Linked DNA regions of Macaca fascicularis. The protein of the gene in region 3 purifies or fractionates together with the protein of the main gene of each other region. This does not show direct contact. Links are inferred from orthologs where the notes say so. Each region holds a gene or a part of one and is shown on either strand. Other genes may lie near its edges.

Region 1 (3,516 bases), on a different chromosome or scaffold from region 3:
GAGACCCTGTCTTTAAAAAAAAAAAAAAAAAAGTTTATGAAGAGGCGGGGCTTTGATGAAATGACAAATTTTAACAAGTGGGCTATGTAAGTTATTTAAGAACATAGTACTGTATAGGACAAGCACATATGGGAAAAGCATATGTATTTCTTCTACTAATATTGTACATAATAGGGTAGGTAGAGTCATGAAATTTTATTTAAATTTATGAGGAGACCAAGCCATCATTTTAGCTCTCATATCTTCCTGTGAAATGGTAAAATATCTCACCCAAAAATATCTTTTTGCTTGTACTTAAATGCATTTATTTTTCTATCTTGAAATGTTTGTTTTTAACTTTGTTTTAACCCTTGAACTTATAGGGGTTTCCTGCAGAATTTGCCATGTACTTAAACTATTGTCGTGGGCTACGCTTTGAGGAAGCCCCAGATTACATGTATCTGAGGCAGCTATTCCGCATTCTTTTCAGGTCAGTTTTTAAGGTATTTTAAGATTATAAACTCTGTGAGGGAAATTGGTTAAATTTACCTAACAAATTCATTCTGATAAATACTAAAGTAAAGCAGATCTGACTAACATGAATAAAAGATTTAAGAAACTGATTTATTTGGGACTAATTTGGCATTTTTCTATTTGCAGTGTAAATAGGTGATTTTAGTTTGGAGTGGATAGAGAGTTGAATCATACTCAAAGTAGAATGTAACTTTTCCAGAATAGTTATAATTCATATTAGATATAAGTGGCTGTCAGTGCCTTCTGGAACTCTCCAACTTTGTTACAGTACCAAATAGAAAAGCAATTAAAATATCACATAGTCATGGAGTCTAATCAAGTGGTAGCAGTCCTAAACTCGGGTAGGGTTCCTTAGGCACAACCCAGAACTGGTCTTGAAAAAGCGGGGGGGAAATAGATTACATGTGGCTCAAACTCTTAGTTGGAAGAGAATAAGAATTGAGGTAATCCAGCCAGGTACGGTGGCTCACGCCTGTAATCCCAACACTTTGGGAGGCCAAGGCAGGCAGATCACTTGAGGTCCGGAGTTCGAGACCACCCTGCCCAACATGGTGAAGCCCCATCAAAATACAAAAATTAGCCAGGTGAGGTGGTGCTCGCCTTTAATCCCAGCGACTTGGGAGGCTGAGGCAGGAGAATCTCTTGAACCTGGGAAGTGGAGGTTACATTCAGCCGAGATCCCGCCAGTGCACTCCAACCTGGGTGACAGTGAGGCTCTGTCTCAAAAAAAAAAGAGAGAAAAACAAAAAGTAATCTGCCAGACACAATGGCTCACACCTATAATCCCAGCACTTTGGGAGGCTGATGGGGGTGGATCACCTGAGGCCAGGAGCTCGAGAACAGCCTGACCAACATGGTGAAACCCCGTCTCTGCTACAAATACAAAAATTAGCCGGGTATGGTGGCAGGCGCCTGTAATCCCACCTACTCAGGAGGCTGAGGCAGTAGAATTGCTTGAACCTGGGAGACGGAGGTTGCAGTGAGCCAAGATTGCACCACTGCACTCCAGCCTGGGCAATAAGAGCAAAACTTTGTCTCAAAAAAAAAAAAAAAAAAGAAAAAGAGAGAGAGAATTGAGGTAATCCTTTAACCCCAGAAAAGTGTCTTCCCAAGGCACCAGTCAGACATCTTATAACCAAACTTCCAGTTGAATATTTACTCTTACTTGTTTTTAGGAAGTACCTCCTCTTACGAGTATTCCCGTAGATAACTGACAGCTTGACTTGATGTTTCAGTTTTCATGTTGCCTTTTTTATACATAAGAGAAATATTTTAGAAGCTGCCACACTTGAGGAAATATTCATTGTGTGAAGAAATGCTCTCACTGTCTTAAAAAGTTAGTAGATTATAAAGCCGGGCGCTGTGGCTCATGCCTGTAATCCCAACACTTTGGGAGGCTGAGATAGACGGATCATAAGTTTAGGAGATCGAGACCATCCTGGCTAACATGGTGAAACCCTGTCCCTACTAAAAATACAAAAAAAAATTAGCCAGGCATGGTGGCGGTTGCCTGTGGTCCCAGCTACTCGGGAGGCTGAGGTAGGAGAATGGCGTGATCCCGGGAGGCAGAGCTTGCGGTGAGCCGAGATCGCGCCACTGCACTCCAGCCTGGGGGACAGAGCGAGACTCCGTCTCAAAAAAAAAAAAAGTTAGTAGGTTATATAACTGGACTCTGTTATTAAAGGATTAACATAAAATATTTTATGTTTTCCAGGACCCTGAACCATCAATATGACTACACGTTTGATTGGACAATGTTAAAGCAGAAAGCAGCACAGCAGGCAGCCTCTTCCAGTGGGCAGGGTCAGCAGGCCCAAACCCCCACAGGCAAGCAAACTGACAAAACCAAGAGTAACATGAAAGGTTAGTAGCCAAGAACCAAGTGACGTTACAGGGAAAAAATTGAATACAAAATTGGGTAATTCATTCATTTTTAACAGTGTTAGATCAAGGAGGTGGTTTTAAAATACATAAAATTTGGCTCTGTGTTAAAAAAAAAAAAAAGACGTCCTTGGAAAATTTGACTACTAACTTTAAACCCAAATGTCCTTGTTCATATATATGTATATGTATTTCTATATACATATATGTGTGTATATTTATATCATTTCTCTTGGGATTTTGGGTCATTTTTTAACAACTGCATCCTTTTTACTCATTCATTAACCCCCTTTCCAAAAATTTGGTGTTGGGAATATAATATAATCAATCAATCCAAAATCCTAGACCTAACACTTGTTGATTCCTAATAATGAATTTGGTTAGCCATATTTTGACTTTATTTCAGACTAACAATGTTAAGATTTTTTTATTTTGCATGTTAATGCTTTAGCATTTAAAATGGAAAATTGTGAACATGACGTAATTTCAAGAGGTGAGTCTGGCATGACCCCCGAAGTGTCTATCTTCTCAGTTGCAGAGCATCTCATTTTCTCTCTTCAATGCTCAAATAAACGCAAAGCTCAGCACATCTTTTCTAGTCACAAAATAATTCTTTCATTTGCAGTTTAACTACATATGATCTTAATTTCAAAACGATTCCTTTGTTTTTGGCTTGATTTTTTACAGTGTTGCAAATATCAGGCTCCCAGGGTTTAATGTGGAATTGAAGTCTGCAGTCAGGCCTTGCAAATTGAAGATAACTGGGGCAAATGCCATTGAAACCGCTAGTCTATTTCCTTTCTTCCTTTCTCTGGCACTCTTACTGCCTGTAAGGAGTAGAACTGTTAGGGCACACTGTTGCTATACAGTTTGACTCCCATTTTCATGTTTTGTGTTTTTTTTCCCATTTCTGGGGCTTACCTCCTGATACCTGCTTACTTTCTGGAAGTAGTGGGCAAGTAAGATTTGGCTCTTGGTTTCTAATTTTTAAATTTCTGAATGACTGCTCTAGTCTGAACTTGGCCTTTATAGATTAATCTTTGCTTCACATTTTTAGTGTTGTATTTAAACTATTTTATAATTTAAAAATAGATTCTAACCTGAAGATACTTTTCAAGAAAT
Region 2 (3,516 bases), on a different chromosome or scaffold from region 3:
GAAAGAAGGAAGGAGATGGAGGAAGGAAGGAGGGAAGGAAGGAAGGAAAGGAAATGAAAGAGAAAAGAGAAAAGAAATAGCAGGAGAGTCAGTGGGGCCAGAGCCAAATAAACAAATGGTGCAGAAGGGAGTGGAAGGGATGGCGAGGTCCAGATCATGGGGCCATGGTAAGAACTTTGGGATTTATTCTAGTTGTGATGAGAAGCCTCTGAAGGATTGAGAGCTGAGGAGTGACGATTTATATCTGAGAAGGACCACTCTGGCTGCTGGGTGGGAAATAGACTCACAGAATATTTATTAAGCACCTGCCACGTGTGAGGCACTGTGCTAAGCGCTGTGGGAGACACGGGGATAAATCACGTGAGCTGTGCTTAGGTCACTTACAGTTTAGTGAAGCAGACAGATCTGTAAACAATCCACCGGGATTCAGGTGAATGGAGTCAGTGGCATAGCTGGCAATAGTGTTTTGGTTAGGAGCATGAGCTTTGTAAGTCCTGTAGTTTTGAGTTCAAATTCTGGCTTTATGCTTTACTACTTACTTAGCTATTGGCTTCAGTTTCCTCATTTGCAGATGGCAATAATGAAAGTAATAGCTGTGCCCTAGGATTGCTGGGATACTGAACCGTAAGCCTTGGGGCAGAGTGGCTGACCCTATAAGCACCCCGCAATGCTAGCACCCCATGCCTGCTCGTGTGGGACTTGGGACTTAGCATGGGACGCTTGAGTTGAGCTTTGAAGATGCTGAGGAGCTTTTTTTCCTTTTTTTTTTTTTTTTTTTTTTTTTTTTTTTTTTTGCATAAGCAGGAGAGATTTCTATGCTGTTTTTACCTAGGATTTGAGGAAGTTATCCTGTAGCAGGGACTTACAAGTTTCTCTCCTGGAACTTTCTCCTGTGTTATGTTTCCCTGGAGATATATTAATAGTGAGAAAGTATAAGTAGAATTTGGAAGAACATATGGCCAGCAGAGTCCCTGGCTGGTTTTCTTGGCCTCAGGCTGCTTCCTGCACGCCCATTTCTTCATCGTCTCAGGTTAATCACTGGGGTGCAGGAGCTGGACTTTTCTCACTAAAGCCACTGCTCTCTACCTGCCAGATTCCTTGAGACGATTCTCCCTCCAAGACTAGGTTTGAAAAAATGACACTCTCCGCTTTGGTGCCTCCTTTCTTTATAGCCCTTGAATGCAACCTTCTTATTTGGGATATTTTAGCCAAGCCAGTGTGTTTGGGGAGGCACACAGTTTAGTCTCACAAGTTGAAGAAGTCTTCTGCTGGTCCCAGTTCCTGACACTAAACTCTTGAGTGTGAAAATCAGCACATCTCCACTTGTCTCATTTCTAGATGCAATAGCTGCCTCCTCCAGGAAGCCACTCTTTCTGCCACTAAGTCTAGGGAAGTTCTTTAGGCCGGAGATCCTGTGAAATTACAATTAAGTGGATTTCAGGCTATCTTCTTCTTCAGTCACTCTTTCTGCCACTAGGTCTAGGGAAGTTCTTTAGGCCAGAGATCCTCTTAAATTACAATTCAGTTGATTTCAGGCTGTCCTCCTCCTCCTCCTCCTTCTTCTTCTCCTTCTTCTCCTTCTTCTCCTTCTCCTCCTTCTCCTTCTTCTTTCTCTTCTCCTTCTCCTCCTCCTCCCCTCCTCCCCCTTATTCTCCTTCTTCTTCCTCCTCTTCTTTCTTCTCCTCCACCTTATTTCTTCTTCTTCTCCGTCTCCTCCTCCTTCTCCCCCTCCTTCATCTTCTTTCTCTTTCTCTTCCTCTTCCTCTGCTCCTTCCTCCTCCTCCTCTCATCCTCCTCTTCTTTCTTCTCCTCCCCCTCTTCTTCCTCTTCTTCCTCTTCCTCTCCTTCCTCCTCTTCCTCTTCTTCTCCTTTCTCTTCTTCTGCTTCCTCTTCTTCTTCCTCTTCTTCCTCTACTTTTCTTCTTCTCCTCCTTCTCCTGCTTTTTCTTTCTTTTTCCTCTTCCTCCTCCTCCTCCTCTTCCTTTTTAGCAACAGTGCTATTTATCCAAATAAAATCTGTATGAAACCCCAAAGAACAAACCACACAAGCAGAGCTGTTCTGGGACGTGAAGTCAGGGTGGACGCCGAGAACCCCGATTTCTCAACCATCTCCTCCTTCCCCCTGGATAACCCTAGGATTCTTCAGGGGAATCCTTGAGTTCTGAGGATCAGAATTTGAAAAACCCATCAGAGAAGGGTGTTGACGTGAGAAACACCAACTTGGATCTCTTTTATCCCAAAATCCATAACCTGTTCCACCCGACAAAGGTTGAGGGAATTTTCTCTGAGGTCTGTAGCCCCTTTAGAGCTATTTCTAAATAGACTAATCAGGAACTCTCCATCAATAGGGAGATGATGGTTTGTTTTACTGGAGAAGGTTTCTTGAAGCCCTTCTCTGCCCCTGAAAGAAGGAGGGGCATAACTCAGGTTATGCTGCCAGCCCAGTGGAATCTGGGGTAGCGTTGCCTTTTCTGAGTGTTTCTTGCCACCTGCCTTCTCCCCTCGGCACCCTTGGGGTGTTTCAGATCGATCAGCTAAAGCACCGGTTGAATAAGATGGAGGAGGAATGTAAGCTGGAGAGAAATCAGTCTCTGAAACTGAAGAATGACATTGAAAATCGGCCCAAGAAGGAGCAGGTTCTGGAACTGGAGCGGGAGAATGAAATGCTGAAGACCAAAAACCAGGAACTGCAGTCCATCATCCAGGTGAGGGCCTGGGGGCGGGGCCAGCGCAGGCAGCGGGAGGGTGAGGGCTTGGGGTTGGGGGAGACGATGCACCTGCCAGGGTGTGAGTCCCAGAGCCTCACTCACACCACGCTGACTGCAGGATCACAGACATGCATGCCATCCTTGGGCACCTTTGTCTCCTCCTCTGTAAAGCGGTGACCACCCCACCACGCATTTGTCAGAGACAGGAGATCATACTTGGGAAAACATGTCCTTGTTTGAAGCACTCCAGGAAAATCACCATCCATGTGGAAATCAATGCCCTGGGCACTGTGGGAAGAGACAAGGACGTCTGGGAAACCTACACGCCCTTAAAGATTTCAGAAAACTCAACTCTAAGCTCTGTGCCACTTGTTCCAACCTCAAATGCCTCCCCGCACTTGTCAAAGTGGAATCACTTGTGGGCATGGAGGAGGAAGCTGCCGAGGAGTGACATCCCAAAACATATCTGCAGGGCAAGAAAAAAAACATGCATCCTCTGGCTCCCTCCAGAACAGTCCCCACCAGGAGCGGCTGCCTGGTATTTAAGGCTCTCTTTCGGAGCCGAGGGTGAACCCAGCTTCACCAGAACAGATTCCTCAGTATTTCAGGGACAGCATCTAAAAAGCCGATCCAGCTTCCCTTTGCTGTCACCTGTGAAGTGTTCTAGGTGCACCAGTTGCTTCTCTGCGCTCTAATAAGTGCCAGGGAGAACAAAAGGCCCAGGATACTCCCAAGCAGAAGCCAGTTTTCTGCTTCTTTCCAGGCAATAAACTTCTTAAATGATAAGCTTCTTAGAGACCTCAAGGGAC
Region 3 (4,250 bases):
GCAAAGAAAACACAACACCCAACATCAAGTATCCACTGCTTTTGGATTCCAGCAGCCATGCTTCTGCCCTGGCAGGGCCTTGCTGACTTTCTTCTCCCTCCTTCACGGCCATGTAGGAGTCCTCCACACCCGGCTTTCTTCAGGAAGCCCAGAACCTTCCCTAACTAGAGTACTCTTAACACTGTAATACTCTGGAGATCTGCCCCCAAAGACAATTTTTTACATTATGGTAAGTCCAGAAATTCAGAAATTTATGGACCTAGCATAACAGTATTTTGGACTTTTTTTTTTTTGCGTATCCAAAAGCCCAACATGTTTTTCCCAGAACAGAAAAAAAAAATGCCACCTCTCTGTTAGGTCTTGCTAGTTATTCCCTCCTTACATCATTACTCCTTTGCACAAGCAATAATTCCAAATCACTATTACCCTTTGCCTCAATCCCAGACTCTGAAACTGAGAGTTGACAGGAGGGTTTAAGAAAATAATGTGGCCAGGCAGGGTAGCTCACGCCTGTAATCCCAGAACTTTGGAAGACTAAGGCGGATGGATCACCTGAGGTGATCACCAGCCTGGCTAACACAGCAAAATCCCCTCTCTACTAAAAATAAAAACAATTAGCGGGCCGTGGTGGCGCATGCTTGTAATCCCAGCTACTCGGGAGGCTGAGGCAGAAGAATTGCTTGAACCTGGGAGGCAGAGGCTGCAGTGAGCCAAGATCACACCATTGCACTCCAGCCTGGGCGACAGAGCAAGACTCCATCTTGGGGGAAAAAAAAAAGATAATGCAAAAATAAGAAGAACAAAGAAGAATGAAACAGCAGCAGCAGCATGTAAATATTTAGTACATTTTATGGTACATACCATGTCCTCAATAAATGACAAAAATCCACTATCATTCATATCCAACACAGCATTTAATGTCATTGTAAAGGTCCCCAAATAATAGTCCATTACTGGATAACCCCTTATGATTAGTAATTTAATATTTGTTAAGTTTTTTATCTTCTAAAATTTCTAGCAAATAGTAAGCACTTAATACCATTTTGAATAAATGACTTCCCTTTCATCAAGTATTTACTAACTTCTACACATAACAATATTAAGAGACGGTTTCTGTTCTTAAGGCATTTATACAGATGTGTACAAATAATTATACTATAAGACAAATCATAGTCATTTGAGAAGTTTAAAAAACTGCTAAGGGGTTCAAAGGCAGGCCAAAATTACAACAATGGTATAAAGTAATGGTTCTAAGTGGGGTCTGGGAACCCCTAGTGTAGTTCCTGAGACCCTTTCGCGCGGTCCACAAGGTCAAAAAGATGTTTCATAATAATATTAAGATTTTATTTAGCTTTTTCATTCATTCTTTCAGGAGTGGACACTGCAGTTTCCAGTGTCCTGTGACCTGTAATAGTGCAAAAGACTGAATGCAGAAGCACATAAACGAATCCAGCTCTGTGATTAAGCCAAGACATTAAAGAGATCTTCAAAACGAAAACCAATGCCACTTCTCTAATTGACTTTTTTGTTTTGGAAAATTTGTTTTTCCACGAAAGTATTATTTCTGCTACCATGTAATGGGTTATTCTTTTTAAATAATATTTTTAAAATGTCTTAGCTTTAATTTCAATGGCGGTAAATATCAGTATATATTACATGTATGTATTATCTCTAACCCACATAAGAGCTCTCTGGGGTCCTTAATAATTCTTAAGAGGGTAAAGGAGTCTCGAGACCAAAACTTCAGGAACTCTAATACAGCCATTCCAAACCTAATAAGGAAAAATAGTTTTAATTCGAGTTTCATGTTCATGGTGAAGTCAAAAAGGGAACGTGGTAACCTGGTTTGATGGAGGAAGATGATGAGTTCGGCGTCAGTCTTTTCCAATACCCTGCAAAATGTTCATGAATTCCTGCACCCCGCCCTCGGCATTCATCACCTCGCCTGCGCTTCTTCCCAGCCTTCCTTAGGTCTCCCAGGGCAGTGTCCACATCCCTTTCTTTTGCATTTTAAGTCCTCTGGATGACTGCCCCATCCCAGGGGTCTCCTGACAGCTTTCCTTCTCTCACTATCCTCCGGAGTCAACCTCGACTTCTCCCTCTCACCCAGGGGCGGGGGTGGGAACAGGGAGCTAAGCAGCCGCTGGGCCACTTTTGCCTCCTCCCTCCGGAGCCCCGGGCTCCGCTCTCAAATCCCAGGCGTTCCAGGGGGCTGCTGGGTTCCGCTCCGTCTCAATGACCGAAGTCCTCCCCACCTCCGCTCACTCACGCCGGCGGCCCCTGCCGCGCTCAGCCCCGCCGACGGCGCCCCCACTTCCCCACGGGAGCCCACCTCGCTCGGCCCGCTCGCCCGGCCTGCCGCGGCCCCGAGCTCACCTGAGGCGGAGGCGCCCGCGACTCCCCGCCAGCTCCGCCAGCCTCCTCCAGCCCCGGCCCTCGGGCGCCTGGTCCAGGTGCTCGCTGAGCCTCCGCAGCAGCGGCTCCCGCAGGCGGTTGAGGGTCGCGCCGGCCGGAGGGGCGAGCAGCGGCCCCGTGAGGGCAGCCGAGGGCGGCAGGGCCTGCAGCGGGTCCCCCAACAGCGACATGGCCCGCGCCGGAGACCCCGGACTGCCGGGGCTCCTGCCCGCGCCGTCACGGGCCTCGGCCCCGGGGTACCTTCCGCTCGCCTCCGAGTCGCGGAGGCAGGGGCGGAAGCACAAATCTGGCAGCGCGGCACGGCCCTCGGAGGAGGAAGCTCCGCTCCCCGCCCCAACCAGACAGGTTTGCCTGGGGGAGCCGGGCCTACCGGCCACGCCAGCCACGCAGAGGGGCGGGGCACCCGGGGGGCGAGGCGCGGAGCCTCGAGGGGCGGGACCTTGGGCCTCGAGGGGCGGGGCAGGGTCGCCTACTGCGGGCGGGCGTGCGGCTGTGCGCCTCCCTTGCCCACCCCTGCGGTCCCGGGCTGGCAGTGGCGCGCGCTTCAAACCCGGGAGGTGGGGAGGCCCTACAGAGCAGGAAAGGACGGGTTGGGTGCAGCTGGAGGAGGAAGCGGTGGAGGAACTACGCCCCGGCAGCTCCTCTACTGCGAGGAAGCCTGCGGCGTCTGGGCTTCCCGAGACCGTGGGAGGAGGCCTGCGTACTCACGCCAGAGAGCTGGGCATGCGGTTCTCCGTCGCCGGCTCCCGCCCGCAGTCTCCGGTGGGCGCTCTCCCCTGACTCAGGAACTTGCATGTGCCCAGCGACACACCAGAATCCTGCAATGGGCAACCTCAGTGGACGCTTCCTCGTTTTAGGGTTAGATGTGTATGGCATTGCTAGAGGGAAGTAGTGCTAGAGATCCGGATACTTGAGTTGGAATTGACCAAAATTTTTGACTAGACTTTTAAAAAATTACTACTTTGCAAACTGAGCTGTGGCATATTTAAGGCTAATCAGATCTGGGAAATGATTGTATTTAGCAGGAATCATCTGGTTTTCCCGGGTCAGACTGCCGCCCGCAATCTTCCTCGTCGAAGCAGACAACCCTGTAGAGGATGCCCTTCCCTGGAATGATCCGGAATGGATGACACCTGAGCTCTCTCTGCCAATCTTAGCAACATCCAAGGCCATTATTCCTTTGAAAACTATGGCTTCGTTTGGGACAAAAAAGGAAGTAACTTAGAAATGTGACCAGATAGTTCCCTACACAAGGCTTCCTGGCCCAATTTCTGTTGCCATTAGCTTTTCATCACCCAAGGCAGCAGGATTTTCTGATCAATAATTTGGATACCTATATTCTTATACATGTTGGCGAGGTAGGTGCGCCATACAGTCTCCACCTCTTTCTAGCAGAAGCAGTCCTTAAACTTCACTCTAGCATAAGTTCAGAATTCAGACTGCAGTGCGATGGCTAAGAGCATGACCTTTGGACCCGGAAAGATCTGCTGGATTCAAGGGTTAGAAGCTTGAATGAGTTACTTAATTTCTCTGCCTTATCTATTAACACAGGACTGAAAATAGTTTATATAGAGTTGTTGCCTATGTGAAGCACTTAACTCGGTAACTGGCACATCGTAGATAATAAATGCTATTACCCTTACACATACATACTCAGTTTGACTTGGCAAGCCTTTCCCAACCACTTCAGGTGCCTTCCCGTTTTGTCCTCAATCATTGAACAAATATTTTCTGAGGATCTATTACCTGCATCTGCCAATTATGCAAATCAAATCTAGTCTTTACGGGAATCCTGCCTTTTAATTTAAATTCAACAAAGGTCTTCTAAATTTAGA

The links.
Region 1: the proteins of MALT1 (region 3) and CSNK1A1 purify together in Homo sapiens (affinity purification with western blotting; 3 studies listed by BioGRID and IntAct, with this or other methods). This does not show direct contact. The link is inferred for Macaca fascicularis from reciprocal best matches to the Homo sapiens genes MALT1 and CSNK1A1.
Region 2: the proteins of MALT1 (region 3) and CARD11 purify together in Homo sapiens (affinity purification with western blotting; 6 studies listed by BioGRID and IntAct, with this or other methods). This does not show direct contact. The link is inferred for Macaca fascicularis from reciprocal best matches to the Homo sapiens genes MALT1 and CARD11.

Annotation. Positions count from the first base shown.
Region 1 is NC_088380.1:156,385,603-156,389,118, reverse strand, and holds part of CSNK1A1 (casein kinase I), read left to right. Parts: intron 1-362; coding exon 363-469; intron 470-2,227; coding exon 2,228-2,376; coding exon of another isoform or gene 2,377-2,381; exon of another isoform or gene 2,382-2,489; intron 2,490-3,516.
Region 2 is NC_088377.1:36,476,982-36,480,497, reverse strand, and holds part of CARD11 (caspase recruitment domain-containing protein 11), read left to right. Parts: intron 1-2,524; coding exon 2,525-2,704; intron 2,705-3,516. UniProt on the Homo sapiens protein: Adapter protein that plays a key role in adaptive immune response by transducing the activation of NF-kappa-B downstream of T-cell receptor (TCR) and B-cell receptor (BCR) engagement.
Region 3 is NC_088392.1:22,306,368-22,310,617, forward strand, and holds the start of MALT1 (mucosa-associated lymphoid tissue lymphoma translocation protein 1), read right to left. Parts: upstream 2,804-4,250; 5' UTR 2,586-2,803; coding exon 2,377-2,585; intron 1-2,376. UniProt on the Homo sapiens protein: Protease that enhances BCL10-induced activation: acts via formation of CBM complexes that channel adaptive and innate immune signaling downstream of CARD domain-containing proteins (CARD9, CARD11 and CARD14) to activate NF-kappa-B and MAP kinase p38 pathways which stimulate expression of genes encoding pro-inflammatory cytokines and chemokines.